Linked DNA regions of Drosophila melanogaster. The protein of the gene in region 1 interacts with the protein of each later gene in a pairwise test. Each region holds a gene or a part of one and is shown in the gene's direction. Other genes may lie near its edges.

Region 1 (8,219 bases):
CAAATACGAGCCCAAAACAAGGATCTTTGTGCATGTGGAAAAAAGCAGCTGCTCCTGATGGCTGTCCTCTGTCTCTTTCCGACGAATCGCTATCTCTTTCTGGCTTAATTCGGCGATCCATTTGTCGACCATTTTGGTTTCTCCTCACGCCCCAGGTCGCTCCTTCCATCGCATCTCATTCATCCGCACGGGTTCTCGGTTTTATTGCACCTTTTGTCCCATCCAGCCCTCTCTTTCTGATCCGATCTTTCCGTCTCTTTCTCCTCCCCGCCATGCGTAATCGATGCAATTTGCACGCTTACGCATATCGCAAGATTAAACTTATCCCTGATCCCTGAGCTGACTGATCCCTTGATGCGACTGCCATTGCCATAAATTGCTTCTATTTCCTACACTGAGAGTCTAAATGTCCAAAAGGGTTAGAACTGAGAGCTGATGAGAAATTTGTAAATAAAATTAGGAACATTAAAACTTCGTTGTGAAAACGCCCATAAGTCGTGAGCCACGGAATCGAATGGGATCCGTAGGTAGGGCAGGACATTTGGAATATTCGAGGTTTGATTACCCATAAACTATTTCTCTTTGTGTACCTCTGGGATCCGCTGAAAAACCTTCGACCGGATCAACTGCGCGACGTATAAAACGATATTTGGATTAAACGTTTAATTGACTGCTGAGCAAAACCGGTGTGACCATATAGAGACATATCCAGGGGTTGCTGCTGCTGGCGGGGATTAGAGCCCGATTCCGATGTCGAAGCTTCATTACCATATCAATGTCGGCAGCAGGCGACTCAGCCTCAATCGCAAATCCTCAGCACGGGATTTGGCTGCTGAATCCGAAGAATCTGATTCCGATTCTGGTGCGGATTCTGCTGCTGATTTCGATTTGGCTTCTCGAGGAAATTCGCTTAAATTTTTAACAAGACAAATACGCAAAGCACACGCCCCTCCCCCGTCTATTTTCCATCTCTCCCGGTTTTACCGCTTCTGGGAAACAATCATGGAGAAAGGGAGAGAGAGAAAGAGAGAGAGCAGGGAAAACTTTTCTAATTTTGCACAACTGGAAAATGTGGCCGTGGGCGTTCAAAGAGAAATGGCAACAGAAAATCGAAATAAAAATCATCATCATCGGGAGGGAGCCAAGAAAAAGTTGAAGATGATGATGGTTTTTTCCACATTGTTTTTCCCGCTTTTTCTCCGGCGCTCAAATGGAAAAGTAGAAAAACCTTTTATTCCACAATGTTTGCTTAGTCCTTTGCCAATTGAACTTTTTCGCACAGCCAATCGAAGGGGTAGTGGTACTCAGCCAAATACAATACTTAGACAAGTTAATTTAATTTTTTATTTAAAATTCAATCTGCGAACTAAAACAAAAAGTGCACAGCAAGTGGGGAAAGAATTCAGGTCAGAGGTCAGAGTAGGTAGAAAAGGCAACAAAAAGTTTCATGTGAAAAAACAAGTTGAACAAATTCTGTGAGGAAAATAATAGAAAAAAGTGCGTCACATCTTTTGAGCTTAGCGAGAAGCGCACTCCCAGAGCTTCCTCCTCTTTTTCCATTCTCAACTCAATATTTCCTTTACATTTACAACATCGTCATCATCGGTTTTCCCGTCGGGAGTTGTTGGCCATGTAAGAAGTTCAGTGTAAAGGCAAATAGCGAAGCCCAGAGAAAACTGGGCGGCAGGATCCACTAAGAATCGGAGGGGAAAGAGGACCAGAAATATCCTGGTCCTGCGGTCCTTGGCCTGCTTAATTATTCAATAATTTCTAAAAGCATTTGGCCACATGCGACGTCATCAGCCGTCATCCTTTCATCCTTTTACGGCATGTGACAGGACCGCCCCTCTTCTTCCGTGCGCCCCCGTAATCAGTTGAACACATATACCCCCAACACACACTAAAACATCTGCATTTATGTAAGCCTCCCTCCCTGGACCCCTCCTCTTTGTCCATCTTAGTACACAGAGCGATTTGGGTGCCCTTTAAATACTTTCTTATTATTTAAAGATATTTCGAAACCACCCAATTTAGTAGTCAGTGTTGATTGATAATTTATCAGGAACGCCTCGTCTTCCATGATTCTCCTAGCAGAATTAAGTTTAGTTAGTATGTAAAGATGGACCTTACTTGGGAATTATTTCTCCAAGTGATCCCCATTTTTCACCCCCACATAGGTGACATTGTAAGGACTTTTCGGTTCATTTGCTTTTCCTGGCTGGATTTCCATTTGTGATTGTGGGTGTGGTTTGCAGAGTTGCATTTATCATTAGTCGTAGCTTAGCTTTTGTTTTCCTGCATTCGAGTGGACGAGGAGGGGGGGCATATCTAGGGAACGAACCCTGGCGGCCATTGGGGATTTTGCACTTGGGCATGTTTGATGTGGAAACTTTAGATTAAAATATTTTCCTATGCACACACACGAGGTGAAACAATAGCGACGAGGGTCACCAAAGTGCCGTAGATTATTGAATGAGCGCTCCCAGTCTCCCTCCAGTGTAAGCTTCATCTTTATGTACGAGTAGTAGCGTGCTTCTTTCTACATAAAACGTTCACCCCTTAACCCTTTTCAAGCTCCCAACGTCTGCAAGAATGATGATAAAGATAAAGCTCAGAAAGGGAGAAAGAGCAAGAGCAGCGCTTCTCCGTGGGCGGATTGAGCGCATAATGATGTTTATGTGTTGCCAGAAACATAAAAGCATTAATTTAGTCATTATCTTCTTAAGATACGGCGCCAGCAGAGGCAGTGGAGTATCAGAATCCCCTGAACGCGAGAAGAGAGCGTCAGGCTTTTTGCCACCCATAATTTCCATCAGCATTTTTATGCTACCCCTGCTACTCACTCTGAGTGAAAGCGAGAGAGCTTCTGTTGCCATATCCTGCGCACCCGCTTCCCTTCTCTATCGCTCCCTCGACAGCTATCTCTTTCTGTGGGGGCCGCGGGGTCTGTCAGTGATGACTTTATCTGTATAAATAACTGTCAGTGGCCAAAGAAAGTAAGTAGAGAGCGCAAAAATACAAAAAAATACATGGAAGCATTGGTGTGAATTGGGTGGAAAAGGAGGGGTCTGGTGAATGGGGCATTATCTCTGTAGCGCCATCTTTATCCTGGACCTCCTGCCAGCCTTTAACCTGGAACACTGCAAGATGGGGGCCCGACACCATCAACCACCACCAGCTAGAGCGAGAGAAAGAGATACAGAGGGAAAGCAAAAAAGGGAGGGAGGATACAGAGAGAGGGAGAGGCGTCCAAAGCCAGAGAGTATTGCCAAGCAATATGGTAGCGTTGAGGGCGTGGCTTCACCCCGATTTCATTGGCCAACGTCGAAAAATGTCCGCTAAACGAGAGAGCAGATGTGAGTTTGTATCTGGCATCTGAGAGTCTGTATCTATATCTGTCGAGGAACTGGCCTAACGACTACTCAATCGACAACTTGTCGGGCGGAACGCTCTCACAACACTTTCGCAGCTCGAGCGGACAAGAAGGGTTCCCGGTGGCAGAAAACCTGTGGAAATAATAAAATATAAAATCACGACGCGATTGCAGTGCGTGTTTCTAGTGCGGTTTAGTGAACTTGGCATCGATCAAAACACACTAATCCAGTGAAAAAAACCTAGACTTAATATTCGCAACATTGCCACCATTACTGAATTAAAAAAAATTGTAAAGCGCTTAGTGCTTCAAAAGTGCCGCTTCATTAAAAAAAAATCAGTGGGGAAGAGACTTTTTCCTACTCGAAAGCTTCATAGACTTCTTCAAGATTCTCTCCTCACTGTGGACCCCTGGAGGAGGCGGTGGAGGCACCACCACCACCACTCCCAGCACCACGCCCGACATTCCGCCCTCGAAGGCCAAGTTCAAGATCACCGTCGTGAGCACGCCCAGCCCCTCCCCGCCGCCTACGCCCCCTCCGGCTGGATCTATGCTGGCACAAATGGTAGAGACAAATTCCCCGCCGGCGGGTTACACCCTCAAAAGGTCGCCCAGCGATCTCGGCGAGCAGCAGCAGCCTCCAAGGCAGATCTCGCGATCTCCTGGCAACACGGCCGCCTATCACCTGACCACCGCCATGCTCCTGAACTCGCAGCAATGCGGCTACTTGGGCCAGCGATTGCAGTCGGTCCTCCAGCAGCAGCACGCCCAACACCAGCAGTCCCAAAGTCAAACTCCGTCCTCCGATGATGGCAGCCAGTCAGGTGTCACCATTCTGGAAGAGGAGAGAAGAGGAGGAGCCGCCGCCGCGTCTCTCTTCACTATCGACAGCATTTTGGGCTCTCGCCAACAGGGTGGAGGCACCGCTCCAAGCCAAGGCAGCCACATCAGCAGCAATGGCAACCAAAATGGACTCACCTCGAATGGCATCAGTTTGGGTCTGAAAAGAAGTGGCGCCGAGTCCCCAGCCTCGCCAAATTCAAACTCCAGTTCTAGCGCAGCCGCCAGTCCCATCCGACCGCAGAGGGTTCCTGCCATGCTGCAGCATCCTGGCCTGCATCTGGGTCACTTGGCGGCTGCAGCGGCGAGCGGTTTTGCCGCCTCTCCCTCGGATTTTTTGGGTAAGTCTATCAATCCCCCTATACTGAACGCACAAGCCCCCTCAGCTGAATTTCATTATGAAGACAACTTAAGACGAAACCAGTTCAAAGGATGGTTCTTTAGATAAAGAAATTTTAACATTTTGAAATACCTTATTTCATGCATCTAAACTCTGAAATCACCTTAAGGCAGCTCACTCATGCAGTCAGGAATCACCCATTCAGCCACTCACCCACTTTTATCCTGACATCCTCATCCTCTCCCACTCAACCGAACCACACCCATTCCGAAGCGAGTCCTGAATGGCATTATTCATAATTAGGCAATGATCCGTGAAAGATGATTCCGCATTTCCTCTCCATTTTCCTTCGATTTTGCGGTGAGAGGATTTGCATTGGGCTCTAAGTCTTAGCTTGGGCCGGAAAAACCAGGGAAATCCGGGATGCTGGGGTGGCTTTAAGATGGGCTCAGGCCTTGTGTTGATTCGAGCGTGGATCTCAGGCGCAGATTTATGCAGAATACCGCTTAAATTCATTCAAAGGCTCCCCCGCAGGACATGAATATTAAAAACCTGGTCGCAACTTTTTTCCCCAGCTTGCTGCAACCGGAAACGGAAGCCACACATACGTTTACAGATGGGGTCAAAGGAATAGATCCGTTTTTGCAATATGTTATCCATATATCATTGTAATATTCTTCGTAACGATATTTACATGTTTTCCAAGTACAACATATGCTGAAGAGGGTAAATAGTTTTACATTTTACTTGAACTGATACCATTTTTGTGTCTACTGTAAGCCAAAATGGCGGCAGTTTTATTTTGCGCGGTTCGTTATGCGCATTTTTAAGGATTTACCCAGGAATATTCCACTTACACCCATTCCCGTGGCCCTCTTTTCTCCAGTTATATGATGATGATATGACTGTTATTCCAACCAGGGAATAATGAATTTTCCTTTTGTTTTCCCTACAGTGGCGTACCCCAACTTCTATCCAAACTACATGCACGCTGCTGCGGTGGCGCATGTGGCCGCTGCTCAGATGCAGGCACATGTGAGTGGAGCAGCCGCTGGATTGTCGGGTCACGGGCACCATCCGCACCACCCCCATGGGCACCCCCACCATCCACATCTGGGCGCACACCACCACGGACAGCACCACCTCAGCCATCTGGGTCATGGACCTCCGCCGAAGAGGAAGCGTCGCCATCGCACCATCTTCACGGAGGAGCAGTTGGAGCAACTGGAGGCCACCTTCGACAAAACACACTACCCAGATGTGGTGCTCCGGGAGCAACTTGCCCTCAAGGTGGATCTCAAAGAAGAACGAGTTGAGGTGAGTTTAAAGCTTCTAATTTTTAATGCCGAAGAAGGTGTAAAAAAGGGGGCAAGACTAAGTTTAAAGCATAACTTTATAGACATTTAAAGTAATTTTTTTAAGGCCGCTTTGTCACCACAAAAAAACAATCAATGCCTGGCTTTAGCTTTTGATCACTGTGTTCTTCCTAGCAGCCGCCCACACTCTGTGTTTAACATTTGGCTCTAATTTCACGCTCGTTTTAATTCCCCGCGTGAAACCAATTGAGTGCTACACCCCCGCTCCTCTACACTCCACTTAACCAGAATCAGATTCCGAATCCGAATCTCTGGCATCTGCATCGCAATCTCTATTCTCTCCAGCGAGATTCTCCCTCTGAGAACTTCTACTTGTTTATTTAGTTGTCAGCGGCGTACATTTTGAGGGGCTTCTTCGCCGGCGAAAGCAAAACAATGCCAATCCCAATGATTCACTTAATTTGGGTAATGGGACTCGGGATACAACCGCATGTTTAAACGGATGGTGAGGGTTATTTGCTCGTCGGTGGTTGCCACTGCTGAATCGTATCATTGGTAATGTAAATATGCAGGGATTCCGCCTTCTGCGCCCTTGTAAATCCCACCCCGGGGGATGAACCATCCCTTTAACATCGGCAATTGTGATTCAAAGTCCATTAGTGTCGAGGAAACCCAACAACAAACAAACAAATTGAGAGGTCACCAAGGAAGAAAGTGACGACAAAAGTTGACAATTTAATTTGTTCACATTTTTGGTGCATTGATGGGTGGCTATTTCGCGTCTTTGATGAGGATTATCCACGCTTTCCGGGCTACGGGCCCCGGGTTCCGGGCCCCCTTAGTTTTCGTTTCCCTGGCAATATGTTTGTCAACCGGTCAAATGTTTAATCTAACCCATCCAACCCCATCTCACCCTCACCTTTCGCAGCGCAGGAAGGCGGACAAGTGCGACATTTGTTGACACTCGAAGGGTTTGGGCTTATGTTTAGCCGTGAGCCTAAGACAACTTACACATTAACATTACTAACCATTTAGGATAATGAGAGGCGTGGCGTTACTCAACCCGCAGGCGAATTGACGCCCGCTTTTTGATTAGGCGACAAATTTAACCCGCGGCGAGCATTGGAATCCAAAGCGGATTAGAATGCAGGTTGTAAGTTGTAAGTTGCGAGGTTGTTAGGCGGGAGGAGTTCTACAATAGGATAAGCAAATGAAAAGCCGAGGTGGGGAAGATTTTCCAGCTCTTCAACTAATTGGAATTCAGCGGACTCGAATCTGCTGGCTCACGGGGGCGACTAATTAACATACAACACACAAAAAGAGACTTCAAACTTGTCTCTGACAAGCAAAGTGGATGAGGAAAGAGACGGCAGCAATCGCAATCCCAATCCCCAAGCAAATCTTGTGCTCAGTCATCGCTCGTCATTGACTTAAGCAGCATAATCAACTTCAGGTCTGGCTTCCAACTCGGAACCCCGGCTTTTGTGACTGCTACTGTTTAGCATATTTGCATGCCAAGAGTTGCCACTCGAGGCCTCCGAGCCCCCCGATTTCGGGACCGTCTCTCTAAGACCCCAGCCGCTCCATAAGTGGCAATAATTATTGAAAATCTTGCCTAAGACAAACAGCAGCAATAACAAAAGAGAAAACAAATGAAAAAAGCGAACAAATTCGAAGCCTACACATCCGATGCTCTAACGGAAAAGAGTCCGTTCGGTCGATGATCAATTGGGTACCAAAGGCTACCCATTTACACACCAAAAGCCAAACATGGCAACTAAGTTACGTCTATTAGTTAGGCTTGGATATAGTCTAGATATAGCTAAGTGCATACCAAAAGTACCAGAAAACAAACACCAGAGCTCCGGACCAACGTCTCGTAACTATTCAGTTCCCATCCTGGGATCGTTCGGCATTTAAATGATCTGCTTATTTTGACTTCATAATTTACAATTATTATTTTTATTTAGCCACTCGAGGCGAGGGTCGGCCGGCTTGGGATCGAGCCGGATTGGATCGGATTGGTTTGTATGGGATTGGAACGCCAAACAGTAGCTCTACCTGTAGAGCAAACAAGCCCGTTCTCTTTGTCCGCCTGCCTCTCTTTTTTCGCCTTGGCTTCTGTGGTGCGTGCAAGTCAAATACGCCTAATCCCGCAGCTCAAGTGATCGAGGTGATTTCGTTCTCCGATCAGCCAGATATGGAGGGATATATGTAGCTTGGGATGTAGAGGAGGAATGGCTGGGCTGGAGGGCATTTCAAATATTTGTCTTCGGTCGTCGCCAAGAAATTAGTAATCATCAGCTTGGCATAATTTGTGCTCCTCTCTCCTTTCGATCGCTCAACTCCA
Region 2 (8,406 bases), on another chromosome or scaffold:
GATTAATATGATTTGAAATTGGAAAAGGTCCTTAATGTTGCACTGGCGCCATCTACCGTTGGTAACGATGAGCCCGGCCGTTCCTGGAAACACAGGCAGATCTCGTTTTGACGATAGATGTCGCTGCAATGTGTTCAAAAGCGTGTCATTTAGAAGTATAAAATCTACAGAAAGCTTTTATTGAGTTCAACAACCAAAGCTTATTATATAAAATGAAATAAAATATAACTCTATTTAACATTGAATTATATAACATAATGAGTACAAAAGCGTAGGATCTTTCGATTTTAAATATTCACGTATATTAACCCTTCAATTTAATTTGTCCAAGTAAATAAAGTCGTTTGATTGCTAAGCAAAGAAAGCGAGAGTTTTTAGCTTGTAATGATAAAATATATACATATAGATATACGTATATATATATTTGTTAATGCTCATATTTGCCTGCACATATCATAGGAAGGACTATATTCTGCAGCTGCGAGCGAAGCAGAATCGAGAACTTTAATTCAATATTTGAGTTTAATGCTTGTAGTTATGTTTTTAGTTGTAAGCGCACTTAGCTTCAGACATTATGCCAATTTTCAGTGCAACTTGATACTGTATTGAAACTGGCTTAGAGTGGCAACAGCGAAACAAAGGAAAGAAAAGAAACAGACAAATGTTAAGCAAGAATAATGCGTTACACGAAACTGCACTAAGCTCAACATTTTGGGTTTTACACTCCTCAGGGTTTTTTTTTTCTTATTTATCTATCTTTTATGCGCCTCCTTGCAGCGCGAATCAAATGAAAGGCAGTGACAAAAGGATGTTTTTTTTTTGGAGGAGCAAACTTTGAACTCCACTCGCTCTGTGCCCGTCAAGGAGGCCAGAATCCCTTTTTTGGCCTAGACAAATTACACCCGAGCTCACCAGCGGACTCATCAGTCAGAGTCGAGAAACAGTGAAAATCTCTTTGGGTTCCGGGAACACATGGCAGCCTAGGAGCAAGCGGAGCGTGGAGTAGTGGGAGGCGACAAAAAATGGACTCCATCATGTACATGAATGCCCATGCTAATTAGGACTGTCCTGGGGGGACGGCCAACTGGACCTGGGCCAATTAAATGCTTAAGCTGACTTTCGGGTTCGAGCTTGTCATAAATTTTGACTGATTATGCGTATTCGTCTTTGTCGTAGCCCCTTCTCTGGCTCCTTCCAACGCCGCCCCAAGTGTCCCATCTCTTTCCACTCATCTCATCCTTCGGCTACAAGTACCCGTGACAACTGAAGAATTTTCTGCGGCATCCGAACCCCACCTCCCAAGTGTCCGACGCAATTCATCATTCAATTAAATTGACCGCAAAGAGCAGCATTTCACATCGCTCAGTTCGTCGACATCGCCTTGGGTTAAGTTTTTAAAGTTGCCCAAAGTCGAATCCTTTAATGCCTTGCCAGCATTTTTGCTGCAATCGATTATCCTTTCAATAAAATGCCGCGGAGGCGAGAAAAAAAAACTTTTACCCCCTCGAAATTTAACGCTTTCGCCCGCCGCATCCCCCTGACCCGAAAAATTGGGGATATCTTTTGAGGTTGATTTATGCGCTGGCTTAAAAGCGAATTGTTGTGAGCTGCTAACTGGAAATCTGTTTGACTGCACGTACTTGTTCTGGTTCTCCACACATAGCCCTCCACACTGAAATCTCCATCATCGACTTTCCGGGCTTAAACGATTGCCAAACAAAGTCAAAAGAGAACGTCGTGCATGCCGAAGGATTCGGAATCCTTTGCATTTGAGCTGCGCTTTTTTTTTCCGCCATGCTTCTTGGTATGCCGGTCCCGGCAACTCAAGGATTTCGCAGCTGTCCTGGTCACAGTCACTATCTGCTGCCCGGATTTGGCCAAAGTGATTTACGACATGCTCATGCCAGGCATTCAAAATGCGGTCTAATTGAGACTCCTTAGATGATTAATCCTTGGCTAATATGGCGAAATTCAACAAGTCTACGCCGCACATTTCCCATAAATTTATTTTTCTTTTTGCTGCCGATAACGCCTTTGATTAATTAACACACTCGAAGTTTTTTTATGTACCTCATGTGAGAAAAGGAAAAAAAATGAAAAGTGATGCATATGCTCTAATAAGTGAGCCCAACAACGAATTGAGATGTTATCACGATTTATTCGGCTTGTTTACTTTATAATACACTAACAGAAAAATTTCTGTTCGATGTTTTCGACATTTGTGTGGGATTGTTATAAGTATTTCACACGTTAGTATGCAAGTTTGTGAAATACAAGACTTAATAGGTTGTGTACAATTATCAATCTAAATTTATTACGCCACTTATTAAATTTTTTAAATTATTTTAGAACGTTTGTCACCCCGCACAAGTGTGAACCTTGAATTATGCTCATTGCAAAACAAACTACAACTGCTGCGATTTTTTGCATTCTTCTTGTGGTTTTAATTGCTACCTAGAGTTTTTAATTAACGCCCCCGATTTAGCTGTATGTATTTGTCGGAGGGAGAAGGCCAACATAATTTGCAGACTTTTGAGGGGCGGTGGGAGGACTTTGAACTGGGCGCAGGAAGTGGGGTGGAAATCCTTTGAATTGCGGTTGCCATGACAAACTCTTATTTCGCCCGGCATTCCGTTGTCTGGCTAATTCAACGTTTGTGCAGCATGCAAAATATTATAAAATTCCGCCAAATGTCGGAGGTACTTCCCCTCCAGCAAAAAGACGGGCAAAAAAAAAAAACGGAAACAAAAACTAATAAACGACAACAGGTGAGGCTGAAAGCTGACACGTGGCATCAACAACGCTGAGTAAGAATTCAAGGCGCATTTTTGGGAGGAGTGGACTTTCAGCAATAACTGTGGCCCAAGCGCCGGTTGCCAACGCGACCAGCTGTGGAGTATAGTTGAAGTTTTTCGAGGGGAATCGAGGTCTGTTTCGGCATCGATGATAGCCCGCCTATCGATAGGCGGCAGGACCTGTTATCGCCGAGGGCGCCAAAAAGTGCTATCGTTCGGGGCCACAAGCTCCCGAGTTCCCTCATTCGTTGGTCTGCATTGAGGGCGTGGTCTGGCCTACGCACAGCGAGTATAGCCGACCCGCTCTAGCAACCACTTGGCAGGGCAAGCGCGAACGAGTCAGCATGCTTGGCTCGACGGCAAGATGGCTGTGGGCTCAGCTAGCTGTCTCCTTTCCTCGCCCGCCCGGGGCACTGGCACGGTGTGTGCTCTTTGCGATTTTTGCAAATCAATGCGAGAGATAAGCCCGCTGGCAGAGATAACGCTTGACTTAACCGTCAATTGTGCGAGGGGGTGGCGATTGAATGCGGCGCCAGTGCGCAGTCGTTGTTGTCGAAGTTATCAGGTTTCGTAGTCAATTCGCTTTGATTTTTTCGCACTGCCCTCAAATGCAAGCGAGCAGCGCTACGTATACGGCGTACAGCTCCCATACGATACAATAGTGCGATCCGAAACAATTCGATCCGTTTCCGTTTGCTAGTGCCTAGAAAGCCGTCGCACTGGCAGAGACCATTAACCGAATTGATCTAACTGGGAAGTGCCAAGGAATAACTAAGTGAAAATGTGCCCGAAGTGTAAAAATGCTATCAATTAAACAGTAGAAAACAAGGACGAGTGACCACACCCGAAGGTGGAAGCAAGCCGTGTCCTCCGCCGGACAGTGTCCGGCTGTCAGTTGGTCAAACAGTTCATCAATAAACGATTCGACTTCCGTTTCATTGCGTGTCCCTAAGCTGTGCATGTCTGCGTGTCTGTGAGTGCGATTGTGTGTGTGTGCCAGCTGTGCGCGTGTGTGTGTGTGTGTGTGGGAGCTAAGGAAACTTTTCAACTTCCGGCCAAGTGACTTGGATTTAATTTCTTTGGCTTTTTTATGGTCAAGGCATTTAATTAATTTTACTATGGCAATTTGATCGTCTGCTGGCCTGAACTCTGACCCCAGCCCATAACCCTGTGGCATACACAAAAAGCAAGGAGGCGGAAAAAGGACGAGCGATAGGAGGAGCCAGGTGAGTCCTTGGCCAAATGAGCAATAAAACTCAATGCAAATGCCCACACAATCGAACTTCGGCAGAAGTTTCTGCGGTTAAGGAAAGTGAAACGGATTTAGTTTTCTGGTTAGTCGCACAATAGTTAAATTACCCAAATAGCTGGACATTTGACAGGGGTCAAAGTTCAAGAGAGGGCTGGGCCAAATATTCACAACACACGAGCAATTAGTATACTTAAATGTTTTGCCAAGACAAAAATCAAACATTCATTTATGATTCCAGAAATCTTGATACATTGTAAGCAGTTTTATTGCATATGATTGTATACTATAAACATAAACAAAAACTTTGCTAAACAAGTTAATGACCATTTTCTCTTGTCAATTTAAAAACTTTTAGTATTGAAAATTAACAAGTACTTCCAAAAAAGCACAAAGTCACCTATGTATGTTTATATTTGCGTTGAGCAGAAGCCACCCATCCAAAAATAACAAATCTGTTTACTTGCAGCCACACCCATTTCCACCGAACAATTGAGATGTAATTTGCACCGCAGGTGAACTTCAACTCCAACGTTCTGTGATAGACGAGTATACGAGCAGGAACTCCCATTGGGATTCCGCCACCACCAGTCGATATCGATTCCCGATTCAATCAAATTGGATCCCGAATCCTAACTTTCGGAGCAGCAATCAGAAACAGCGACAAACTGTCGACTCTGTCGATCCGCAATTTCTCGGCAAACATGCTGAACAATCTTGGGGCCAATGTGCTGGGTAAGTTACGCCCCCAATCCTCGATAGCGTTTTAAGTGCGGGCTGCGGGCGGGAGCTGCGTATAATGTTGCAATTAAGATCGCCAAGTGAATTGCGCTAATGTATAATAATGTGTGTATTAATCCATGGCATACGATCCGCCTGGCCATAATTAAACTAATTTCTTGAGCACACCCACAAAAGATCGGAGGGGTAGTTAGTCGTACTTCCGATCTGGCGATTGCCATCGCATCTCCCATGTCTGCTAAATGGCCTATAATTGAGACGTCTAACCAGATGGCGCCAGGTGTCGCGTGCATTTAGCAATAATTAAGTTGTGTATTTAACTAACTCGGCAAACCTTCTCCGATTCCCATTCCCATATGCCTATGCCCATTCCGAATCGAGTGTGGGTGGGTGTGTTTGTGTTAATTGATATAATTGCTCTTTTAAATATGCCGCAAATTGTGAATTACATTCACACATTCACCCGGCGCACGCACATAATTATCAAACTGTACTTGTGTCCTCATATTAATATATTAATAATTCCGAATACACATATGTACATATGTATGTGCGTGTGTGCAGGTGAATAAATTATTTTTACCACACTGTTGATCAACGATTCAAGCACTTTCAATTTTGGCAATCAATTTGTTGTTAGCCGTCCAACACTACCAGAAAATACAGTTTGCAAGTGCATTTGCAACTGCAACTGCAGCAGCCATGGATGAGTTATGGCTCGCGTTTATATTCAATTTTTATTGCCAGCATCCTTGCGTCCTTCGAAGCGTTGCCATTAATTACTTTTATTAATTTATTGCCATTTTTCACGCGCCAATTGTCGCCGCTCGGTGCACGCGGCGTATGCGTAATGTCCATAGTTGCCATTGAAGATGGGTGTTTAATTAAGGGCTAGCAAGCGAAACTGATCTGACGGTTTGCTATCTGCCATGGATTGCGACTGCCAAAGTTGGCTTTTAAAGTTTTCGCCGGCTTCAACTTTAGCCAGCTCCATTTGCCCACGAAGAACTATAAATTTCAATGAATCGCAGTGCGGAATCCTTTGGACAAATCCTGCCCGCAGTGCTGGAGTCTGCCATAATAAATTTCGTGAGCCTTTTTCCGAGTTTCGCACAACAGAGAGGCCAAAAAACATTTGCATACTGGGTGCGTGGCCGAGAGGGGCAAAAGTGGATGCCCCCCTAACCACCCCTTTACAATTAAGAGCAATTTGCATGCAAAAGAAATGGCAGAACTTTCCCCGGATTCGTATTGTCTCTCCCCTACTAATGCTTAATTTGCATGCAGCGAAAGGAGCTCGAATGGCGTTTCGTTTGGGCGCTTTTTTCGTGAGCCTCGCATTAATTAAATTAATTTCATGATTGCATTTGTAATTTGCACAGACCCCCTTCAGGTTTACCCCCACCCGTCCGTTGCATCCACGAAATATCTGCGCGTGCTTCGCTTTGTGCGTTCGGCATTTTTGCGGTGGCCTAGGCTAGTGAAATATGTGTGCTTAACCCCGCTGAACACCGCTTAACCCCCCACTGCCATATCCGCTTTGCATTGAAATGTTTTGCGGTTGCTGCGGATTCTGTTCCCAGTTGCGGTTAGTTGTTGGAGCAGCCCAGATTCCATGCCATGCCATGCCATGCCATGCCATTCCATTCCATTTCAAACCAAACCGAATCGGAGCGATCTGCATCGTAGTTTGCCAACTCGAGGCCCAAAGGCCAAAGCCTATGTCCTGCTAAAAACCGCACAATTTCCAAATTTCAATAATTATGCACATTGCTGAATGCACATGCAACTGACGGCGAATCTGGATGCAAGTGCTCGGCCATGAAAGTCCGTTTCTGGCCATTCGGCTGGCCATTCCGGCCAGGTCCATATATTTTGCGGGAGAAATCGCGTCGTTCGCTCCCAAAAACAGGCAAACTGATTTGCGCAAATTGTGCAAATTGCTTGCGCGATAAATTCATGTTTGCCAATTTTAATTAATTAATCGCTTTGTGCGGTTTTCATTTCGTTTCGCTCCTCTTTCTCGCCGGACCAACTAAAATGTTCGCTTCGGGCCAGATGTAAATCTACGTATCTGCGTCCTGTGTATCTGTGTTGCCACTGCAATGTTTACAGTTTCGTATTAACACTATCGCAATTTTGGCCAGGTAGCAAATGGAGGACCGAAACTAAATTACGATGATAGATAACAAAATTATGCCCTATTAGTACGCGTCCTAATGATTTGGGAACATGGATAGGTTTTTATGCCAGTTTTGCGGTTAACACGCAGATTTTGGAAAATGTTTGCCAGCTTTCTTATGTTCGATGGGAAAATTAGTAATGGATTTAGGCGTGAATTTAATTTAAATCAAAATTAAATTTTTGAAAGTATAAACACACTTTGCATCCAGTTAAAACTTTAATATAAGTAAGACAAGTGGTTAAATAGGTTACTAGAATATATTTCTGTAAAGTCTTAACTTCCATTCTAATAAAAACTCAAATAGGTTCAGCTAATAGCTTACTCAGAATGCAGAAACTTTAGCCCTGAATGAGACTACTGCGTCATCTTGATCTGCATACACGATGAACAGTTAGGGCTGCTGCTTTTTAATATTTATGTGTTACAACTGTAAAAGGCGAGGTGAAAAAATCAAAGTTAGACCAACTAACTAACTAGCCAAGCCGGGCCGAGTCGAGTCGTGTTTTTTAGCCGGCTAAGTGCGATTTCGAGAAGTGGCGCTATTTTATGGCTCCCAAACGTGGCCCAAACACACTGCCCATTCAACACACACACACATACATATACGTATCGTATGTAGGTACAATATTTGAAATTCGATTTGAGAAAACAGAAGGAAGCGGGAACAGTTGGATGTTAAAAGTCGCACTTCTTTGGAGCAACGGACCAACGGCGATGTATCTGTGGATATGGATGCGAGTATCTATCTGCTCGCAGCAGCGGATACATGTTTGAGATGTTGCCATCGAGCGTGAATTTCCAGCTGAGGGATCGAGCATCCAACTCGATGGAGATATCGCACCTAACACCGCGCCTTAAATTTACTAATCACGAGCAGAGAGTTTGAAGTTTAAACGCCATTCGGTGCGTGCTGCGTAATGCCCTAAAAATATATGTCAGTGAGCTGGCAGCTTTAGATACATTCGTATCTCTGCTACAGTTTGCCACAATTGCAGCGTCTCAGTTCCGACCGGATTGGAAACTCTTTTGGGGCTGGCAGTTTCGATGGGTGCAGGGGTGGGGAGATTGGTTTGGTCCCGATTGGGGACGTCACCATCTGAAAATCGCTAATGAACAGTAGCCGCACTGGGTGTATGTGTAAAAATTAGCACTTTCCGGGCAGCGTTTTAAAACGCAACAACTACAAACGGCCTGCTTCAGGGAATGTCGCTTGTAGGAACTCCATATCTTTTATTTGTTGATATTTATATTTATGGTTTTATGTGGCGTCTCTCGACGCCCTGAACTCGTTCACCTGCTGACTGCTGAGCGACCAGTGAATTCGATGGCATCGCGTATCTTGTATCGCTCCGCATTTCTGACGTACGTGTGCGTCTGTGATGTATGCCGAAATTTTAACAGGTCCATCCCGAAAACAATAAAAATCATTGAGAGCC
Region 3 (8,097 bases), on another chromosome or scaffold:
ATGTGTATTATTATTATTATTATTATTGGGCCCTAACCCCTCTCGCTGACCCGCTTATTCGGATGCCAAACAAATATGGTATAGCCGCCTGATAACCGATAATGGCATTTGCGCACATTTGTAACACCTTCAAGGCGACGCACGGTTCACAAGGAATTTCTAATACGTCCGCATACAGCTACGGACAGACGTATAGGTTAAGTTAGGGAATATCGATGATATTTATAATTCATTTGAATAACCTTTTTTTTTCCAGCAAACCGTTTTGTTAAAAGTTAGTGTGAAGGATAATTTTATAGTTACAACACTATCGTTTAAAAAACTTTTAGATCTTTTTTCAGTTCTACTTGTTGGTTTCCTTGAAACTGTTGTATTTTGCCGAAAGAGATTTTAGTTATGGGTGCAGAAAAGTATGCACTAAAAATATAGCTCAAAATTCTAATCAGAACTGCTTATGTTAAAAGCCATCATTATTCTTTATAGACTAAAATAATATTTGTAACCTATAATCTTTTTTTTTGAGATTTTTATAAACAAAGAAGATATTGAAAACATTTACCACTTAACATTCCATTCCTGCAGGTGTTTTACAATAATATAAATTTTGTTTTTAAAGAGTGTTTTTTAGCCTGCAGAGCTAACATTTATAGATTATCATGTCATGCGGCGTTAATTATGAGTTTTTTAAGAAGATTTGTATATCGGTCATTTATGGTTTAGCCCCTATTATTTTGGCCGCGACTGTTACTATGCATACATGGATATATGGATGTACATACTTACATACGTGAGTGCTCGCGCTTTGGGCATATCCAATAGATAACGGTTCTAGGTCTGTTCATCGGCACATGACTCGCTTTAAATTAATTAAAATTAATTCCCAAAGCAAACCACAGAACAAGCAAAGAATAAGGGGTGGAAAAGCGAAGAAAGCCACTTGCGAAACTGTGGGTGTGAATATTAGAAGACTGACAGAGAAGGCGAATAGCACAGTTATGCGAGAACCATACCGCACTCCTCGCACTCATTCAAAATTTGCAAGTTCAAGGCGGATAACAAAAAAAAAGCACAGAAAGAGTAGCGACAGATGCAATGTGCATACACATATATGTAAATGCGTATGTACATATGTTAGTACACGGGCAGACCAAGAATAAAATAATTGAGGACTACGCCGGAAGAATGTGAAAGAAAATTAGCAAACCAAAACGGCAAGAGAGCTGTTTTTGCAAGAGCAAGAAATAGGAAAAGAACCGAACAACTGCTATCGGCAATTTGAAATGTGTGTCAGGGCGTAAAGTTCTGCAAACGATTTGATTAATTTATGTGACTTAGGGGGCGTATGATTAATTAGCCTGTGTCGCTTACCAATTACTAAATATAAAATCACTAACACAGTAAGCCACAAATATTTCGATCTCACAGAAATTTGGCGCCTTTTGCTTTAAAATATCGGTAACAGCTGATGGCAGGGCTGGCAGCACTAGTGCAATCGATAGATCGATATGTTGGCGTCACGCGTTAGGTCATTTCATACATGCACACAAGTAAAGCATCGAAATGCTGTTGAATTAATTTGTTTTTTGTTTAGTTTACTTTCAAACCTCGCCGATCGTACTTAATTAGCACCTTATATTTGCGACGTGTCGAATTGCCTAACTTATTTTGTTACTCTTTTGCTTGCCTGTTTTTCCGTGCACCATGGCAGACGTACTTAAATCCGCAGGAGAAATCGCTAGCCAAAAATCATGTCTGTGTGGACCACGGCCAACAATTCGGGCCTAGAGACGCCAACAAAGTCGCCGATCACGTCGTCGGTTCCGCGGGCAGCGAGAAGTTCTGCAGTGATCACCACTGGAAATCACCAGCAGCACCACTTCCAGCACGTTGTGGCCGCCGCCGTTGCAGCCGCCACTTCAGTGGCCACCGGTCATCAGTTCCAGCAACAGTTCCCGCTGCACGCACATCCGCATCCACAGCACCACAGCAACAGTCCCACGGGTAGCGGCAGCAACAGCAACAACAGCGCAGGTTTCCAGCGCACCAGCATCAGCAACTCGCTGCTGCAGTTCCCGCCGCCCCCGCCCCCTTCCTCACAGAACCAGGCGAAGGTAAGTCCAATAACAAATCAATTCCCCAATCTCCTATCTCTGTCTACCAGAACTTTCCCCACTCCCACGACCCCAATCTTAAAGCGATGCTATGGAAGCTGCTCTCTCGCAACTCTCTCTATCTCTCTGTTTCCACCTTCTCCACTCACTATCTCTCTCACACGCTGACAATGGGCGCATTCAGCAGTTTAATCACGGCTCTGTGATCATGTAAGCTGTGATCGGTGATCGGTCACGAGATTTATATCATATAAAATGTAGATCGACTTTTAAGATTATTTAGTAAAAATTCAGAAGGAATTTCAATCATGAAACTTATTTACCGTACTCATGCCATTAATTAGTTTACTTTTTAATATTCTCTTTTGTGTGATTACCGTTAGAAAATTTCCCAATCAAAATAAAGCGAAGAAAGCGCAATGACATTTGCTGAGTGGGCTGCCAGATTTAATATGTACATTCTACATAATTTAGCTGAAGCTATATTTAGGTGTCTAAAAACGATATAAAAAGGACATAAACTAATTTGTTGTACAACAAGTATTATTTGTTAGTCAGTTGGCCGAAATGAGAATGCCAATATTTGGTATAAAAACTTTCAAGTTTGCTGTCTGTCGATAGTGATTGAAAACAATAAACTTTTATTAAAATTAGTTATTTGAAACACGGTCGATTAACATTTTTCAGTGAGTAAGTCGGATATATATTTATATATTTTACGAATCCTCGTATATTTGCGAAAATATGTTCTTCCGAAAACGGTGATAAATAAATCGGACTTCTAATCGCTGAGTCCCATTATAAATCACGTATTACTCATATCCCCGAATTCGCGAGACTCTGCTGAATGCGCCCGTTTGATTAAGCCACGCAATCTGACACATAAACACGGCCTACGTTTCAAGTCGAACCAGATCACACAGACACTCGAAAGTACACACACAACGCAACGCACATGCATACGTATAAATCACAGGTATGACGACTGAGTTAACTGCCAAACCTGCTGAATTATTGAACAGTGTTGTTTTTGGCGAACAGCACTGACAATGAAATTGCAAATGGTCATGGAAATATTGTAGAACCCGGCGTCTAATTGGCTCCAAGAGTTGTACGTTTCTCTTATCGCGTCTGCTGTTCTTTTGTTTGTTCGCTATTTTTTATTTTGTTTTATTTAACCGGCGATAATAAATACACGCACCCACCCATCGAGCTGCAAAGAAATGGAGGTGCTTCTTGGGTCGGCGTCTCTGAAATCCAGGTGTGTGTTTGCATACGAATTTTGCCAGTGAAAATGAAACAACAACCGCCAGCTGACACCTTCTGTTTTTTGTGCTGCTTTATCGGCTGGGACTTATGTCTTATGTATTTTTACTCACATTTTTTAAGTGGTTACATTTTGTTTATTCTGGAGGAAACGCAAGCAAACTGGTTCCATTTGACAGGCCAAGTTATTATTAACATTAGCCAGATTCGTATTTGTTTATGGCCAAAAAAGGAAGGCACTTTCCATCTCGATGGATTCAGTTGTATCGACTTGTTTGGTTTCCCTGCGATCAGCTATATTAAATTTTAGTTTAATAATTTTTTGTACATTTGTGTTGGTTTTCAATTTCAACAGCATGATCCTCGTGCCATATGTTTTCCATAAAAATGCGATAAAAGATAGAGAAAACAATTGTGTTTATTTGTTCAATAGTTTTTCGACGTTTCAAAAGAGTATGCAAAAACTGCTGCTTGGACCATAGAACTTGTATTAAAAGTTTAGAGAATAGTAATTCTTGTATAAATTCCCACAAAAACTAAGTTGCTGTTGATTACTTTGTCAACTTTATCTGTAAAAAAAAAGCTATTCATATGTACCATCCGCCTTATTTGGGATGCAGTTCCTCCTCCTGCTTCTTCTGACCTCATCTGCGTATTCAAATGAAGGGAAGAAGGGGCTTCAGAGGAACCTCTACGTAACGGACAATTATCACCAGAATGTGGTGTCTATACGAACGCGCAAACACATTCGCCATTGGGGTGATAACCACTTCTGTGCCGGCTCTCTGCTCTCCGCCTGGTGGGTCGTCACCTCCGGCTGTTGTGTGAGCACCAGGCCGGAGAGCACCCCAAACCAGCCGAGTAATCGCAAGAATCTAAGGGTTGTCGTCTTCACGCCCAAGCGATTGAAAAAGCCATCTCCCAAGAACATATACCACGTGCAGAAGATTGTGTTGGACGAGTCCGCCATAAGTGGGTGCACAGAATTGGCTCTGCTGAAGCTGGATCGCGGCGTTACTGGCCAAAGGTTTGCCATGATGCTGCCGGAAAAGGAGTTGAATAGCACTTGGCTTTGCAACTCTCTCGGATGGGGCAGGATTTACTACGTAAGTTATGTATATATATCTGCGATGTGCCCCGCATTCAGCATGGTGTATGATAACCCAGTTACTTGGTTCCAGGACGGACCCTACTCAAGCGAGCTTATTCAAATCAGAGCTCAAAAGATTTCGGAGTATGAGTGCAAGCCTGACTGCAGCAGATGCCTGTGCATGACTAGCTATACGGGCAGGGGCAATATGTGCCAGCAGGACTTGGGCAGTCCACTCTTTTGCGATCACTTCCTGTACGGCGTGGCGCGTCGGGTGCACACCTGCGATGATGAGGGCTTCATGTTTTACACCAATATCTATCAAAACCGCAAATTTATCGAGGACACCTTGAGTGGCGCAACCTGGCCAAAAAGAGTCCTATGTTTTCGTCTACTTCTACTTCTACTGGTGTTAGCGTCGCTTTCGGTAGTTTCATCTGATTGAATATGATATTTCAAACAGGAAAGCACAGGATACATTCTACATATTTAAAGGACTATATACAGTAGATCTCAAAATATCTATAATGAAGTACTGACTCATTTTTTTTTAAATAGTTTCTGACTTCAGTTTAATAATGTCAATAAGCGGTGTTACCACCTACTCGTACTCTTGTCGTAGGATATTGACCCACAATATGGTTTTTTAGAGCATTGTGTCCGTGAATTCGAGTGACTTTTCGTCTGTGAATTGGATCTTGATTGAATCTCGATAGTTGAAGTTCAGGGTCGTCGTGTGTGCGTGTGTTTAATCACTCGATTTGTCTTCCCCATTCATCAGTTTGATGATCGCTGATCGATTGCCAAAAGTAGCAGCAGACACTAGCCCCTAGCCCTTACCAACCGCCCCGTTTCCCCTTCTCACCCACTCACCTTGTTACTTTTTGTTTTCCTGTAGTTTTGGTTTCGCCTCTTTCGATTCTTTTACTGTCTGGTAGCTAGCTCTCTTTCCGTTTCTATTCCTTACCCACTCTCTCTTTAAACGCTTTCATTGAAATGGTTGTTTTGTACAGTGCAACTTCACTAACCCGAACTTTTGCTAGTCCTACTGAATAACTATAATTAAAAAAAAATCTTACCAATGAAAATTAGTATATTATTAGAAGCATTTTTTTTTAAATTACAAAATTATTTTTAAAGTAGTTTATATTTGTTGTATCTTTTGGCGTATTTCGTTGTTTTCTTTTAATTTTCGGTAAATGTATCTATATTTCTTCTGTCGTAGATTGTTATGTTTTTATATAAGTTCGTTGCTTGGGAGGCTTTACTGTCATAGTTCGATTGCCATTATAGTAGCTGTTGTTGTTTTTTGTGTCATCGCAGGCAGGCCGCACCGTTCAAATTGATTGTCGAATTTGAATATACGTCGTCGTCGCCGCCGCTCACCGCCGGTGCTTACCGCTCTGGGCAGAGCCGCCGTATCAGTTAGTTGTTAACTTGCCATCGCCGAAGGAACAAGAGGCGCTAAAAGCGAAACGCGGACGCTGAAATGAAATCGAATCGAATGTGCACCGCGCACCTGAATTAAATTCGTGGCGAAAAGGCAAGAATTACTATTCGATTCGTCGTTTTTCTTGCGTGGCTCTTATTTTTTTTTTTGTCTTGCGGAAGTGTCGCCAGCATCCGCGACTGTTTTCCGTTTCAGTTCCTAGCTTTTCGTGCTTTCCTCTCAGCTAGCAGTCGTTAGGGTACAACTCTTGGCTTCGGTCATATGAAAAAAAAATTTATATAAAAAACAAAAAACATGTGAAAAAGTCGGCAACAAGTGCCTGCGAAAAACTGTTTTATTGACACACGTATTTTACATTTTATAAGAACCATAAATGTGTGTTTATAAATAAAAAGTAAATATTTCAACGCACCCAAAAAGACAGAGAGATAGCGGTGAAGAGAGTGAGAGAAGAGGGTCACAAATTTTCAGCGTGCGTGTATGTGTGTGTGTGTGGATAATTGTTGATCAATTGTCATGTGCAAAAAAATAAAAACAATAACACCCAGCGAAAATCATTCAGCATCATCAATGGGAGGAAGTATTGCAAAATCAACCAAGTGAAACGGAACCTAATGAAAATCGCTGAAAGCAACGAGATTACAGTGACAAGTGGCAAACGAACTCTCTCGAACAAAGATTGCGCTCCGCCAACCAAGTACAGTGAATCGTCGTTACTGGCATTCGGAAATCCGCAAGATATCAATGCAAATACATATGTCGATGTGATTCACTGACAGAAGTTAGCATAAAAGAAAACATATGTATATCTAAAACCAGAAAAAAACAACGATAAGACTAAATCACGAGTTCGGCAATAAGTTGATACTTCCGAGAACCAAGAACAATGGAATGAAAAGTCGCCAAGATCAAGAGTAATAACTTTAATATTCCAAAGACCCAAAAACTGTAAAAGGTCGTCAATAAAATAAATATTCCTTAGCCGCCAGACGAGAGAGAAATATCCATGGAAAAGCCATTAAAATCCATAACGCCCAGGTTCAAATGGTTAAGAAATGAATAATATAACTACTGCGAATCAAGTGCTGTGCAACAACACAACGGCAAATTGAAACGTTCTAAGAAAGTGCTCCATAATTGAGGCAGGGCGTTGTCGATAACCAACATGGGACCTTAATGACCTGATGGAATATTTTTTTATTTATTAACAAATGCCAGACATTGGAAGGCAGCCGATCGGTACAATTTGTGGAGCATAAGTTTCGATATTTTCACTTTAGATCTTGCTAAAGAGCTTGAGAACTGAAATATTAGTAAGCTAGGATCTTTAACACTAGAAAGGAGAACCTATTAGACTGTATACAGAATCAAAATTCAAGTTGAAGCGGACTTGTTGCTTTTCTTAGAACTGAGAACTAACAGCAAAAGATACATTCTTAGCCTAGTTTAGATACTAACTGGCTAATATTTATTGTCGCAAAGAGAGGGCATAGAATATTTATCAGACTAATTATATCTGATCCATCCGAGAGCGAGAGTAGTCCATGCCACCCTTTGAAGAGGGTGAATCCAAGCCAGAGGAGCAGATACCTCTAAAGCCGCCCCGACGCCACAAGAAGATGAAGTCAGCGGACCAAGAGGCCGCCCAAACGCCGGCGGAGGATCACGAGGAGGAGCAATTGCTGCCGGGCAGCGGGACGAGCAATCTGCGTTATGCCCGGGCCAATTTGAGCCAGAGCAGCCTGATGCTGAGCCACCAGCAGGGCTCCTTCGAATCGTCAACCGAACGAACGGCGAGCAGTGAGACCCTGGATGTAATGCCGATATCGAGGCGCTACCAGGTGCATCCACAGCCGAACCGCTTGGGGATTCGGCAGCCAGCCTCGGCCTTGGCGAGCGCTCTGCATGCCACTGCCAGATTGGCGGCCAGTGTGGATGCCTATACGGCGGCGGCTACAGCCACAGCGGCAACCGGTGACTACGGCGATTATATGCGCCCGCAACCGAACCTCGGTCACGCCCACCAACTGCCCCTCACCCAGACAACCCAGACAGCCCAGCCCCTGCACCACCAGCTGCCCGCTCACCAGCTGGGCAATCTGAGAGCGAGCAATTTTGTGGGGTCGTCGCGGTATCTCTATCACAGCCAGTTTAATTCGAATTCGCCGCAAACGAGACGC
Region 4 (6,758 bases), about 17 Mb from region 1:
GCAAAAGCCAAGCTAAACGCTTAGAAGCCCCTCTCCACCAGTTGCTCCTCTTGCTACCCCAGGAACTCACATCCGCCGCAGTATGGAGGCAAGTTTCTTGCGGCAGCGACAACTGGCAACCTGCCACTTGTGACTGGCAAGCAGCAACTTTGGAGCACTGAGAAAACTAGAGATAGACTAGTAAAGAATTGTTCTATAAATTTAATTAATTTTTAAATTTATTAAATACGCCTTAAAACTGATCTAGCTTTGTATTAAATGGATTTTTATGTATAGATGTTCTATATCCAGTTATGTATAGAAGAGAGCAGATTTTTGCAGTGCATCAACTGGCAAATTCAACTGGCTGCATCGACTGAAACCGAAGCCGGTTTCGGGTGTGTTAACTTTCTATGCCCGGTAGCGCTGATTGCCAAGACAACGACAGCCCAATTCATTCAGCGGTCTCGCCTTTCAGCGGCAGCAGCTGCTCGAGGTTCTTTGGGCCACTTCCTCGCCTTTGTAACCGCCTTTGTCCACTTGTCCAATTGCTTTGCATGGCCAGAATCTGGAATTTCTGCAGGCTATTCCAGTTCGATTTATCATGGGCAAAGTTATGATCGCTTAAGTGCCGTCGTTTAGGGTTCCTGTTTTAGCCTCTGCAATTGCTCCTCATAAATTCTTCCCGTGACAACACTAATTGCAACTTGCTAGATGTAATAAGAGGCTGGGAATAATTTTAGCTACTTATACAGCCATAAATCCAGTTGGCTTTCGAAGATCTAGATTTCGTATCCATGGATATTTTGCCGGATTAACATATAAGAATTCATGCCCAAGCCAGTCTGTTTTTAAGAGTATACAATAAAGTTTGAAACCTCATTTTTTGGATAGCATAAGCAAAACTCAATTGTAATGAGCTTAGACAAATCCGTCAACCGAACCCAAAATGTTATTCATTTAAACTTCATTCCGGTAACCACAAAACTATAAATTTATTAATTGTTCTTCAGTTCACACTTTCCGCGACCATCGAAAACATATCAGTGGACAATCGTATTTGACAGCCCATAATTGCTGGCAAATTAGAATTATTTATTCAGCAAAACCATTTCTGATTGCCATCCGTTTAGAGTTTGTAATTCATAATCGATGTTTGGTACGCTCCGCGCATAAAACCGAAATAAAACCACAAAATAATAGACACAACTATGTATGTTCAGTATGAACAGATCGTTTCCATGTTTTGGCTGTGACGGAAGTCTGGCCCCATCGCATAGGAACCCAAAATATATACACACAGACCGCGCAACTCTTTCAAAAAGAGGCCATAAATATTGTTCATTTGTAAATAAATGGCTAACGAAAAAGAAGAAAAACTACGAGTAGTGAAAATCCAACAACTCACAGAGCATATAAAACATGGTTCATGTTCATTTCCAGCACTTGGTTTTCTATTTCCAAGCCAAACACTCTATGGTGTTCCATGTCGCTGCGTGGGTGCTCATTTTTTATTGCAGTATCATCTTCCGGTCACTTTGTCAGGCCTCCAATACATTTCTCAAACAGTAACGACGGCACAAGTGTGCCTACTTGGGTTCGAACTTGAGTTATTAAAAACAGAAACGGAATCCAAGAAGTAATAGAACTACGTCCGACAAACGGAAGTCGGATAGACAATGTCGCAGTGTGGATGGGTTCTATCTAAGGGTTACACTGAGAGTTATGTGTTGTTACAGGAGCTTCTCATTCGAATCTCTTAATAATTAATTGATTTTGCACATTAGTTTCAAACTATTAGTCTATAGAACTGAGCAATAAAATGAGTAAGCTAATATATTTAACTTCATTGGTTATGCAGGAATTGGGTTCTTCTGCTTATGCCACTTAAAAGCAGTTCGCGTGACTGCACTTAGTTCAGTGGCACTAGAGTCCGTTTGCTCGGAGTGACCGGTCCCAAAACCACCAAGTGAACCGTCCCCCTAGCACTCCGCCCCAACACCCACTTACCGCCCATTTCCCCACCCACCTACACACGCAGTCGACGCACCGCGTTACGCTTTGAATATAAATTACACAAATAGTGCACACGACTTTGATGGCTGCAGCCGGCGACATTGAAAGCCGACAACGCTGCACAGTGGGTCGAATCCGAAAAATTATTTATATTTTAATGATAATGATAAGCTTAAAGTGTTGACTAAAATTATGCTATCTACCTCAATCATAAACATCACTATTTTCGATTTATCACATCCAATTTAATTAAAATAAACCCTTTTCGGTCTTTTTGTCGGTATTTTGTGTGCTTGAACAATGCATGTGAAACTTTTATACTTTCCAAGCTGAAAGCCCACAAATTAACCCAAGTCAAAGCACTTCGGTTCAAACTCTTTGGGTCACTGCAAAGACCACAGTGCAGATGAGCTGCCAGGAGCGCTGGTCATATCACCATGGCCCTTTGATGCTAATGACTCTGCCATCGCCTTAAAACCGGGGGATAAGCATCGATGGGGGCTCACAACGCTCCGAACTTAGCGGGCAATCAAAAACCGTGCTGAGGCAAATTGGCATGCGTGATGTAGATGAATGGAGATGCAGCCAGATGCAGCTAGATGCAGTGGCCAGGGGGAAATGGCGATGGATGGAGTTTCTGGGCGGGGGCAGAGGTACATATGTGGGACAAGTGATTTCCGCATCGCTTTCTGGATCGCAGCGAGCGGCTGCGTTGATTGATTGATTAATTGACAAAGGAATTGCCGTTAGTTTTCCATTCGCATTTACATTTGCATATCTAATTTATGAACGGCCAAGTCTTGTCCGGCCGTATGTAGTTCATTGTGTTAGCTATGCAAATGCTGTACTTCCGCTGCGAGCGTCTGCCCAAAGCAGCTTAATTATTCATTAATTTCAACTTAAATTCCATATTTGTGCCTGCAGCCATTTGTGGCCCAGTTTCGATGGCCTGCAGTTGCAGTTATCTTTCCGCTGGCTTTTGTCACCATAAAACTGAAGTGTTGCCCGATTATGAAATAATTATAAGCGTTCTGCACGCACTAACCGGTGATTTTAAGGGCGATTGGACTTTGATTCGGATTTTGGGAGATAGAGTTCAATGTGGGAGCTATTCGCATCGATTCTAGTACGAAATTAACTAGCTTTGTTTAGAGATTTGCGCAACTCGGGCATCTAGTTACCCGTTCCATTGTGTTTCAATACCCATGGAAATGAGAACATTTATGAGCCTCACTCGGCCCGAAAATTGCACCCAGTTAGCATCTATGTAAATTCACAAAATCTATAAAGTGGGACCCAATTTGCCACTGCCATCTGCCTCGACCTTCGTTTTCAGTGGAGGTGCTGCAGCATGCCTTGCATATTTAATCCGGGCTACATTGGACCCGATCCGCCCTGCTGTGACCCCGATTGCTTGGAGGAGGGCCACTGCACGGTTCCGGAGTGCGGAGTTTGCCCGGAGTCCCAACTACCCCGATGCAATCCCGCCCCACAATCCAACAAGGACGCGGCGAAGCAACCACTGGACCAGAAAGCCCAAAAAGAACCGAAGCTCCGGGAACAGAAGTAGTGGGGAAAAAGGCAAAGCTGCAAAAATGAACCAGGAGTCCTTTGGAGATGTGCTGAACACACAACCTTGTTGTGTGTTGCTAATATCTTCAAACATCTTGAGCTAAACCCATTTAGCTCATCATCTCCTGGGCATCGAACCGTCATATTGTAACATTATATTTCAAAAAAATTAATAATAATAATAAATAAATAAAATGAATATCTATAAATAATAAAAACAATAATAATATATATTAACCTCAAATTACCAGCTCTTTTCTATTTTAGCACAAAATAACTGTGGATAAAAAATACAGATAAAATTAATTCATTTTCTTATGATCTATCTAAAATGAAGTCAAATAAATTTAAACCAGCATTCTTGATTTAAATGTCAACAAAATAACACATAAGCGTACATACGCATTTTCTTCATTCAAATTTCAAGCACGAAACGTGTTGTTCTGGTCAAACATTTGTTTAAATTTCTCATTTTTCTCTTCCATTTCCGGTGAGTTTCGAAAGAGAAAATGTGGGAGATGTATTTATAAAATAAGATTTGCAGACTTCTTTCGAGTGCTGAAAATGGTTTACTTAAGTCGTCCTTGGACTCCGGCCATAAACCCTTTCTACATTGGCCCCTATCCGAGATGCGCAGTATGTCCGTGCAACTTCGACATTTACAAAGGATACACCCCCGGTGGCTGGCACAGTCGTTGCTATAGCAGCTATTGACGAGACGAGTACCTGTATAAAATGCAAGAATAACGGCGGGAACAAATATAGTTGAACTTTGAAACTGCACACCAATTAGCCTCGCACACATCTATGTAGAGAAATAATAAAATTGATTCATCGTCACCAAACTGTTGAATATTGCTGGGGAAATAATATAAATATTCCAATCGAAATGGCTTAGATTTCAAATTAGAACTCCTGGGAATTTTAGTTTATCAGGTCGCAAATTGTGTGAAAATAGTTTTCTAAATTCAAAATTCAAGTCTCTTGGTCATGTCCTCGTCTGTGGATCACGTGGTACACCACGTACTGGCCCCAATGGCAATCAACGTCCTCGATCGCGTGGTGCCAGTAATCCGCCAATTGGTGATCATCATGCATCAGGCATTTCTGGTTGATCACCATGTGTCGGAGCCCGTGATCGATGTATCCGGCATGATTCAGCCCGTTCGTAAAATAGTCTTGATTGTAAACGATTCAACGCCGGAGCACCATGTCGACCAGGAGCAGGTGGTCAGTTCGGATGACATTAACTACCTGATAAATGAAATTTCGCGAAGTATCCGAAACTTGGCCCGTTCGACCTATAATACCATCTCGGCGATGGCTGGAGAGTAGCCCTAGAATTATTTGTCATCGTGGTCGATCGAAAAATCCGACATCGACCCTCCTGATCCTCCAGAAGATCCTGCTCCTTTGCCCAAGATATGGAAATGGTTCACACGGCCATCGGAGTTGCGGGCATAGTGGCCCTGTTTATGGTAGTTTCCCGTTCGTTAACTGAAGTGGGTGGCAGGGTGTTAAACCAAACCCGTGATCCGATCGCTGACCTTGTGAGGCGCGGTGGTCCAGTGGCGGATCAGCTGTCCGCCGTCGAGGGCGAAACTCCTCTAGTAGAGGGCGATCGCATGGATGGCGCCTGCTCCGTGGTACAAAGTATTGGAGGCAAGGCATGTGCCTTTGTAGGACCATTGCTTCCTAAGTTTGGCAGTGAACATAATTCCGAGGGCTCCTCCAAGGAAGACGAAAAGGATAAAAAGGACTCGGAACCGGTAGTAGTAAAACCTGAAACACCGCCAGCGGCAGAATTAACCGAAGAGGAGTAGGATCTAGTCAGCAACTATGTCGAATAGAAAGCAAAAAAAAGGAAATTTTTAGTTTTCTCTAGTTGGCCTTGGAAATAAACTTCACTCATCTTGTGGGCTTTGTGGGATTCGAAACCTAGAGAGCTCATTCATTTTGAACAGCTTGGACTGAACACATCTCTTTCGTAAAATAAAACACAAAAAAAAACAATATGAAAAATTGAACAAAAATTCTAAATTCGTAGCCAAGGATTAACTTCAACGTATTTCTTCAGCAGGAAAAAAAATCCCAGGTACGTTCTAGTTCGTTAAAATTGAATAAAAAAGTTATACAATTTAAAAATTGTAAAATTGCTTTGTTCCCTATAGTAATTTTTAAATATTTGGTAATGTTTTGTTAATAACAAACCCCGTTTTGAATGGTTGCAGCCGTACCTTTTGAGCCCCTCCTGCAGATTTTAGAAGAGATTCCAGTGTCCTTTACCAAATCCAAACTTTCAAGATGGTTCTGATGCTTTGCTGCAGCTTCGATCCCTTCTACGTTGGACCCTGCCCACCCGGCTGCCTGGCTCCTTTGATGGGAGGAACTCCCTATTGCGGATGTGGTCCCTGTGGAGGTTGCTGTAGTCCTTGCTGTGGTCCATGTGGTCCTTGTGGTGGCTGCAGCTCGTGTCCTTGCGGCTGGTGAAGCGCCCGCTATCATAGGCATTAATACGGCAGCAAGCGGTAACAAGTCAATTTAAAGATCAACCTTCTGGAAAAGACTGCTGGAGAAATATGTTGCTGTTCGAATTCCTTTTTGCCTTGGCCGGGGCTAAACCAACTAAGCTCTCGTATACATAAAGAATTTTTATTATAAGCTGTTCAGTAATAAAATGAATTAAAGTACAAAAGGAACTGCTTTGTGATATATCTCAACACCGAATAGATCCAACCTGGCAAGTGGATTACGTCAATGTAAACGTGGATGGCCAGCCTCCAGTTAAGGATGCAAATGTTGTCCTAGGTCTTGCCTAGAACAGCTGTTTGGGGCATCAGGTTTATTGCGCAGTCGCGATTCGAACGCGCAACTCGAACAAAAACATAGAATGTAGAGCATTGTGTCAGGTCAAAGGTTGTTGGGGTAGGGATGGAACACCCCCTTCTATTATTCAATCTTTGAATGAAAATGAAACTGAATCTCCAATGCCTCCTGATGCCATGTTGTGTTTTGGATAAGCGCGATTTACAGGGCCGTGTCTGAGGTGTCCCTGAGTTTTTCTGAGGTGGTGATTCCACTTCATTTACATTCATGTGTGTGTGTGAGCTGGCCATTTCACTCTTATTTTGGCATCACTTGCTTTGTTTTTCCGCGGAATTTATTGCGGTAGGTCGGAATTTTCATTGCTT

Evidence for each region.
Region 2: the proteins of Gsc (region 1) and otp interact in a two-hybrid assay, tested with the Drosophila melanogaster proteins (one large-scale study listed by BioGRID).
Region 3: the proteins of Gsc (region 1) and Orai interact in a two-hybrid assay, tested with the Drosophila melanogaster proteins (one large-scale study listed by BioGRID).
Region 4: the proteins of Gsc (region 1) and CG31740 interact in a two-hybrid assay, tested with the Drosophila melanogaster proteins (one large-scale study listed by BioGRID).

Annotation. Positions count from the first base shown.
Region 1 is NT_033779.5:589,923-598,141, reverse strand, and holds the start of Gsc (goosecoid), read left to right. Parts: upstream 1-3,456; 5' UTR 3,457-3,761; coding exon of another isoform or gene 3,762-3,935; coding exon 3,936-4,554; intron 4,555-5,508; coding exon 5,509-5,870; intron 5,871-8,219.
Region 2 is NT_033778.4:20,898,401-20,906,806, reverse strand, and holds the start of otp (orthopedia), read left to right. Parts: upstream 1-3,392; 5' UTR 3,393-4,021; intron 4,022-4,513; 5' UTR 4,514-4,748; coding exon 4,749-4,779; intron 4,780-8,177; exon of another isoform or gene 8,178-8,406. UniProt on the Drosophila melanogaster protein: May be involved in the development of the central nervous system.
Region 3 is NT_033778.4:17,849,350-17,857,446, forward strand, and holds the start of Orai (orai), read left to right. Parts: upstream 1-1,512; 5' UTR 1,513-1,748; coding exon of another isoform or gene 1,749-2,111; intron 2,112-3,945; exon of another isoform or gene 3,946-3,991; coding exon of another isoform or gene 3,992-4,912; exon of another isoform or gene 4,913-4,947; intron 4,948-5,790; 5' UTR 5,791-7,461; coding exon 7,462-8,097. Other genes in the region: CG30323 (uncharacterized protein), read left to right, coding at 3,992-4,912. UniProt on the Drosophila melanogaster protein: Pore-forming subunit of inward rectifying Ca(2+) release-activated Ca(2+) (CRAC) channels.
Region 4 is NT_033779.5:18,003,437-18,010,194, forward strand, and holds CG31740 (uncharacterized protein), read left to right. Parts: upstream 1-5,516; 5' UTR 5,517-5,662; intron 5,663-5,798; 5' UTR 5,799-5,871; coding exon 5,872-6,057; 3' UTR 6,058-6,258; downstream 6,259-6,758. Other genes in the region: CG5693 (uncharacterized protein), read left to right, coding at 3,347-3,565; CG42659 (uncharacterized protein), read left to right, coding at 4,132-4,281; CG42634 (uncharacterized protein), read left to right, coding at 4,558-4,902; CG42635 (uncharacterized protein), read left to right, coding at 4,992-5,390.